2 linked regions of the Canis lupus familiaris genome follow. The protein of the gene in region 1 purifies or fractionates together with the protein of each later gene. This does not show direct contact. Links are inferred from orthologs where the notes say so. Each region holds a gene or a part of one and is shown on either strand. Other genes may lie near its edges.

Region 1 (3,819 bases):
TCTATGGGCCTGGGAGCACCAGTGGTGTCTAATTCAACAGGTTTTATGCTTCATGTTAGCAAGGTGTAAAGCAAGATCCTTTAGGAAAGGAGCATTTCAAACAAATACCCTGAGTATTAAAACTTATGCTACACTCTATTAAATAAACCTTTCTTGGTAATGCTTTCTGCAACAGAGTCGTGGACACATCCAACTGTTTACTGTTGTTCACAGCTTTAGAAGGTCTACGAATATTTAGCATTAAACCCAATTTTAATGGTAACAAAGGTAAAATTTCCACTAATCAAAGAATTGATTTTCACAAAAGATTATACTTACCCTCACAGCTGTACAAGCCAACTTGCAAGTAACAGAAGATTCATCCTTCAAAGTTTTCTGCAGCAAAGGAACACAGTCCGCCAGAGAAAATGTACTTCCTAACCAGAAGAGCAAACAGCGCCTTTATGCAAACTTGAACTACAGAGTTCTACCTAGGAAATACACTGCAAGTTCTGCCATTACCTGTCAGGGTCCTGACGGTGCCCATCCAATCTCCCACCTGGAAGCGGGATCTGCTGAGGATAGAGGAGATGAGGGTTCCGCAGAGAACGGCTGTGGCTCCTCTGACTTGGGGGTCTCCATGGTCGATGTAGTTCAGGATGTCTGACACATACTGCTCCTCTGTAGAGATAAATTGCCCAGCCACTGTACAAGCCCCTACCATCCATTTTCTAACTCAGAAGAAAAGTTTAATTCTCAGGAAAGGAAAAAAAAAAAAAACAAAGGTGAGGGAGGATTCCAAATCTAGAATATAGATTTGGTAAAAAAATATCATGGGGTTTAAAGATTCTAGATTCATCATAGCCTTGACATCACTTCAACACAATAGATGTTCTGGATTATAATTCCAGGCTGCCAGCCAATAATCAAAATTCCAAGATTTCACTTAAAAAAAAAAAAAAAAAGATTAGAGAAACTCAAACTAGTCCACACTTACCTAATATGAATTCAAAAGCACAAGTGTGTCCCCTCGCCCAAAGAAAGGGGGAGAACTCGGGAGGGTAATTTTAGAAGTGGGGTTCCTCCCCCATTTACTCCAACATGAGAGAATGTCCCAGAACGTGTGCTACAGGAGCCTGGATCTGCTGGTGCTCTGCTGGTCTCGGGTCGCACTTGTCTCTGAGTGTGAACATCTGGCCTGGCTGAGTGTGACCCAAAGCAATTTTGATTATACACAATTTGTGCTTTTGGTATAAATCCAGTATGTATGTAAACTGGCTCTTATGTTCCCACATTTCTATTGTTTCATCATGTGTGTTTAAACTAAACATTGCATCTACAGGGAGTCCAAAAAACAAAAAACATTACGATTTATGTGCTTTATATACAGCTACAACACAGTTCAAAAATGCCACAAATTAACTCAAAAAATATTACTCTAAACTAAAATAGCCAAGATGATCTGAAATAGTTTTCAAAGCAATGGTTAAACATGAGGAATAGACTGTGAACTTGTAACATACCAGGGTATTCCATGGTGTCAAGAGGTACTTTATAAAGTTTGCTGAAGAAAGATTCAGGATGAAGGGCCACAGCAGCTCCAACACAGCTGAGTGCCAGTGCCTTCACACTGACCCGCACGTCCCTGTCTGGAACCAAAACTGCAAGGAAGGCAGCAAAGTGACCTTCAAAGTGACAGACATCTAGTTTCCACATAAACAAAACAAGACCCAGGAACCCAGCTCCCTCATCACTCCCTCCTTCTCCCATCAGTGAAAAGGACCACCGCTCACCCCAGACTCTACTCCCTCCCTCTGCTGCGGTGATGAGGCACCAGTCACCAAGTTGACCTTGAGACCTAGGCACTTCCCTCAGCTCTGTACTTGCTCTGCTATACATACCATTTTTCTCCCCAGTCAGCAAAAATGACGCACACAGGAGGCGGACACAATGGACAAGAGGAACAGAATCATCATCGGTAGACTGTCCTATGTCACCTTTGATCCGGCAAGGCTACAACAAAGAAATGGACACTTTCTTATGATCGTTTGTCTTATGATCAAGGAACCACTATAGTCACTCGTTAGTGTGTTCAAAAAATAGGTCCAGAGCAGCAACTATGCCAGGTGCTGGGGACAGAGATACCTATCTCTGTCCCACGAAAGCCTGGCCTTAGACCATGCTGGAACAGATCCAGAGTGGTCAGAGGCAGCTACACTGTAGGGTCACGGAGACTGTGGCGGGGAGAAGTCCAATGCATGTGTGTGTGGGGGGGGCACCAGCACTCAGGAGAGGCTGCTGGGAAAGGACAGCACGAACCACCATCTACACAAGGGGAAGCACTCAGCCACAGGCAAGAGCCCTGGGAATGCCCAAAGCAGAAATGGCACAGACATATCTGTGCCTGAGCAGGACTTGGAAGGAAGTGCAGAGACTGGGCAGCTACAGAGGGACTATGGACAATTTCTCACCCTCGGGGAATTTAGAACTGAGAAGACAAGACACTTATAGGCAGTAAGCAATAGAGAGAGATTTTATAGACAATTCAATGGATAACTCAACAACAACAAAAAATTCCCAAACCTGATTAAAAACCGAGTGAAGGGCTTGAACAAACATTTCTCCAAAGACAACATACAAATGGCCAGTAAACACAGGAAGAGATGTTCCTCCATCACTCATCATTAGGGAATGCAAGTCAAAATCACAATGATCTACAACCTCACTCCCAGTAGGATGGCTACTAAAAAAAAAAAAAAAAAAAAGGCCAGAAAATGACAAGCCTTGGGCGAGGACATGGGGAAAACTGGAACCCAACATGTTGCTGGTGGGATGCAAACCGGTGCAGCTATCAGGGAAAGCAGTGTGCACGGATCTCGAAAAAAACTAAAACTAGAACTACCCTATGACTCTGCAATCCCACTTCTGGGTGTATATCCAAAAGATGCCTACATGCCAGGTTCCTAGCAGCATCACTCATAACAGCCAAAAGACAGAAGCAACCCAAGTGCCTATCAACAGATGAACAGAAAAACAATATGTGGTCCATCCACACAGTGAGGTATTACTCAGTCTTATGGAGGAAGACACTTCTTACAACATGGATGAACACTGAGAACATTGACCAAGTGAAACAAGCCGGTCACAAAAGAACAAAGACTGCCTGGTTCCACTTAGCTGAGCTTCCCCTCGAATAGTCACATATAGACACAACGCAGATGGTGGGAGCCAGGGGCCAGGAGGAGGAAAGATGGGAAGTTTGTGGTTAATGGGGACAGAGCTTCAATCTGGGGAGATGAAGAGCTCTGGAGATGGAGGGTGGTGATAGCTGCACAATGTGAATGCACTTATGCCATGGAGCTGTACACTTCACATGGTTACAATCATAAATTTTATATTTTATGTATTTTAAAACTATAAACAATCAAATGAATAATTCAATGAATAAAAACAAGAAATGCTCCAAGACTATGCACGACCATCAAATGAATGGCCCAAAAAATCAGGGGAGACAGGAATCAGTACAAGACAGATTTGTCTGAGAAGGACTCTCAAGGAGGCAGAACTCCAGGTAGTTCTCAAGGATCTGGGTAGTACCAGGAGGGGCAGAAAAGAAGAGCACACCCAGGAAGGGGTTGATATTTAGGGGGAATAGCGGAGTAGAAGCTCAGAGATGGGAAAGCGAGGAGCACAGCAGACAGGAGCCAGAGTGATTTTAAACTCTCACAAGAGCTCAGAATGCCAAGTGGTCTCATGCCCAAATATCTCACCTTGTTTTCTTGATCTCCTGTTTCGGTAGCTTCATCTCTGGAGACAAACTTGTCTATACTGCTGTCAGAG
Region 2 (3,819 bases), on another chromosome or scaffold:
AAATCAAACATAGGTCTGTACATAGGAGCCGTTGGTTCCCCATTATCCTAGGCAGGTGTCTTCTGAGTTTTAGTAATTTTTCTCTTAACATCATGAGGATATGATAAACAAGGCACATTCCTTCCTAATTGTATGTGCTTTGGCTTTGCCTGTCTTGTTTTCAGACCTGGAGACTTTTCGTCTCATGACAGAATGGCAAACTCAGGTTAGCACTTCCTGTAGCTCACCTCTGCCCAGTCCTTCCCAGACCTGCTGGCATTGCCCCAGTTACCATTGAAGTCTTTTATCCCCCCCTTAAAAGATTTATTTACTTATTTATTTGACAGAGAGCCCACGCACGCAAGCACAAGCAGGGAGAACTGCAGAGGGAGAGGGAGAAGCAGGCTCCCTGCTGAGCGGGGAGCTCGACTGGGGGCTCCATCCCAGGACCCCAGGACCATGACCCAAGCCAAAGTCTGATGCTTAACCGACTGAGCAACCCACGTGCCCCTATCACTGAAATCTTCACATCCATTTTCGTATCAGCCTAACTTAGAAACCATCTTTCCCCCTGAAATACATTAACTTTATTCTTGGAGACTGAGGATATTAAATAAATAAATAAATAAATACCCCCAACATAACATTACTGTTTATATTTCTTCTTAGGAATTGTGCTTATTATTTATCCTTATTTTATATTTCTAATCTCTAACATTCCTTTGTAATTTTATATTCTCTTCTGCTTACTTCAGTTAAAGCTCTTATTAGGTAGGGGCACCTGGGTGGCTCAATTGGTTAAGCTTCGGACTCTTGGTTTTGGCTCAGGTCATGATTTTAGGATCATGGGATTGAGCCCTGCATCAGGCTCTGTGCTGGACATGGAGTCTGCTTATCTCCCTCCCTCCCTCTTTGCTCTTCCCTGACTCACGCATGCTCTCTTGCTTTCTCTCTTTCTCTGTCAAATGGATAAATAAAATCTAAACAAACAAACAACAACTATAAGTGAGACTTTGAAAGTTGAGAATTCTTACGGTGGTTCCTGGCCTTGTTTGCTGACTTCTCCTTCACCACCCCTGTGCCTGCACTTCACAGGCTAAAATACCTGTCCTTGTTCCGTGTCAGCCTTTTATCCCCCTTCCTACTTGGGTACTTCTAGATCTACACTTCAGCCATTTATGGTAAACTTGAATGGCCTTATTGGAAAGAATTAATTTTAAAATAGAAGATTCTGTGACTTAGAAAACTTCCAGGGGATCCCTGAGTGGCTCAACGGTTTAGCACCTGCCTTCCGCCCAGGGCATGATCCTGGAGTCCCGGGATCGAGTCCCACATCAGGCTCGCTGCATGGAGCCTGCTTCTCCCTCTGCCTGTGTCTCTGCCTCTCTATCTCTCTTTCTCTCTGTCTCTCGTAAATAAATAAATAAATAAATAAATAAATAAATAAATAAATAAATAAATAAATAAATAAATAAATAACTTCCAGAAAATAGTTTTATATCAACCTGTAGGAAGCACTGCACCTTCATCTCTGCATTCGTGGTAGGAAGCTCTTTCTGTTTCGACCTCATTGACTTCCTCTGGGACTCCTGTTTTAAATTTTCTCTTCTTCAGTTCTCTCAGATAGGGGTGTCTATTAGATTAGTGTTGAGAAATGTTCATAAGAAACTGGGTATTTGGTGAATAGCAGAATTAAACATCATTTCTGTTTTATTAACAGAGATATGTAATTCTGGTTTTTCCACAGCTTTCCCAGGCAGCCGCCAGCATCGATAACCGGGTCCCCACTCCTTCCTCGGTGGCCAGCGCCGAAACCAACTCCCAACAGACAGGACCCGAGGTACCAATGCTGGAAGTGAAGGCAGAGGTCAAGACCGAGGACACTGAGCCGGATGCCAGTGAAGCCAAGGGGGAGCCTGGGTCCACGGTAGGTGCCCTTCCTGGGGCGTGAACAGGTGTGCACCATACTGAAGCGTCCTGAGGCGAGACACCGCATGTTCTCCATGGACGACACTGCTTTTTGTTTTAATGTCCTGTTTGATGATGGATTCAGAGAGGATAAATGTTAAAAATAGATTAGTTATTTTTAGGTATTAGGTACGGGTTTTACTATATTTTGCCAGAAATGAAGAGGACACTGGTTTATATTCTAAATGATTGAATCATCCAGTGACTGCACTGTCATTCTTCATTCATAGGTAGTTCTGTAGAGTTAGACTGCACAAGGGTGTGCTCATTCATTAATTAACCTGTGGCAAAAGCTAAAGACTGGCAAGCCATGGGCTGGATCCACCCCCATCCACATGTTTTGTTTGGCCCACACAATATTTTTTAAAATGAGGAATTACAAATAAAACTCTGGGTTTCTGGCTTTTCTTTGAAAATGAGAAGCTCTGTCAGCCTTGTGCTTACATTCCTATGTCAGCAGTCTGGGTGGGAGCCTCAGCCCTGGCTTTTAGATGGGGCTTGGGCTCCAATTTGCCGGAGTCTCCACTCCCCACTCTGGCTCACACACCTCCTGCTGCATCATGTACTTCACCTGCCTGGCCCTCTGAGCAGTTTGGTTTTTGAAACTTGCCCCAACTTTCAAGAAGATTCTTGTTCCAAACTAGAAATGCCTACATGTAAAACTACTGGGCAGGTGATGGGGTGTGTATATGCAATGTCTTATAAGCACTCTAGCATATAAAATTTTTAAATTGGGACTATAATTGCAGTGGTGCTGTCCTAAGGCAACTCACCTGACACCAGATGTTCCAATCCTTCCTGGGGGAGAGGAAGGGATGGTAAATGCAACTCTTGAGTAGGGTACAGCTTGATAAGCCCAGATAGATTGTTAAGAGACTTCCAGTGAGGCTGAGTTAGAATAAAGGTCTTTGCTATTCATACATTATTACCTGTAATTCTGTATTTCTCAAGATGATGGAAGAGGATCTACAAGGATCTTCTCAAGTTAAAGAAGAGACAGACACAACAGAACAGAAATCAGAACCGATGGAAGTGGACGAGAAGAAGCCGGAAGTCAAAGTAGAAGCTAAAGAGGAAGAAGAGAACAGTGCTAATGGGGCCACCTCTCAGTCAACATCTCCTTCACAGCCACGCAAAAAAAGTAGGTTGTGTTTCCTGGACTTGTTTTATCGTGCTGCTTTTCCATCGTGTTGGGATTGCACACCACAGGTTAAAAGCTAAAGCAGAAAAATAATTGTCTCCCCCCCTTATATCTTTTCTGCCTGCCATTCCCCAAGTTTTACTTCTTCAGAAATGATGACAGAGAGCTAGACTGCAGCCTGAGGGCCCATGAGGTTTATGGTGGGAATGAGAAATGAGCCGCAGCTCTGAGGGGCAGCCCAGGAGCACATCTCTCCTCTGAGCCATCATTCCCCATGGGGCCAAAGTAGAAGTTGCATCTGAGTCCTTGTGCCCGCTGAGGAGCTTGGGCTTTCTTTACTCAGTAGGGCCTGGACGACCACGGATAGATTTGAGCAGGAGGTTGACTGCCACACTAGGGAAATTATCACCGTGGCTACACGTGGGTGCACTGTTACAGATGGGAAGGTGTGCTCAGAGTAAATGGGCAGTGGAACAGGACCCAGTGCCTGGTGCAGTGGGAGGGGTGCAGATAACTGAAGATGCTTTGCGGGGTGAGGCAGCCTCGCAGGGGGACTCAGAGGGAACCCATTGGAGGTCCAGCATGAAGTCAGCAGGGTGTCAGAACATTGTTAGGTGACCCTTGTAAATGAGGAATGTGGTTCAGGAAGTTAAGGGCTACTTGTGGCACATTTGGGAAAGTCAACAAAGAACTGTTCAAGGCTGATACTCTAGAGTAAGTTTTTGGTCTCA

What was found.
Region 2: the proteins of HTT (region 1) and CREBBP purify together in Homo sapiens (affinity purification with western blotting; 5 studies listed by BioGRID and IntAct, with this or other methods). This does not show direct contact. The link is inferred for Canis lupus familiaris from reciprocal best matches to the Homo sapiens genes HTT and CREBBP.

The regions. Positions count from the first base shown.
Region 1 is NC_049224.1:61,700,801-61,704,619, forward strand, and holds part of HTT (huntingtin), read right to left. Parts: coding exon 3,750-3,819; intron 1,993-3,749; coding exon 1,881-1,992; intron 1,641-1,880; coding exon 1,503-1,640; intron 661-1,502; coding exon 502-660; intron 417-501; coding exon 319-416; intron 1-318.
Region 2 is NC_049227.1:37,802,789-37,806,607, forward strand, and holds part of CREBBP (CREB-binding protein), read left to right. Parts: intron 1-1,726; coding exon 1,727-1,906; intron 1,907-2,898; coding exon 2,899-3,088; intron 3,089-3,819. UniProt on the Homo sapiens protein: Acetylates histones, giving a specific tag for transcriptional activation. Mediates acetylation of histone H3 at 'Lys-18' and 'Lys-27' (H3K18ac and H3K27ac, respectively).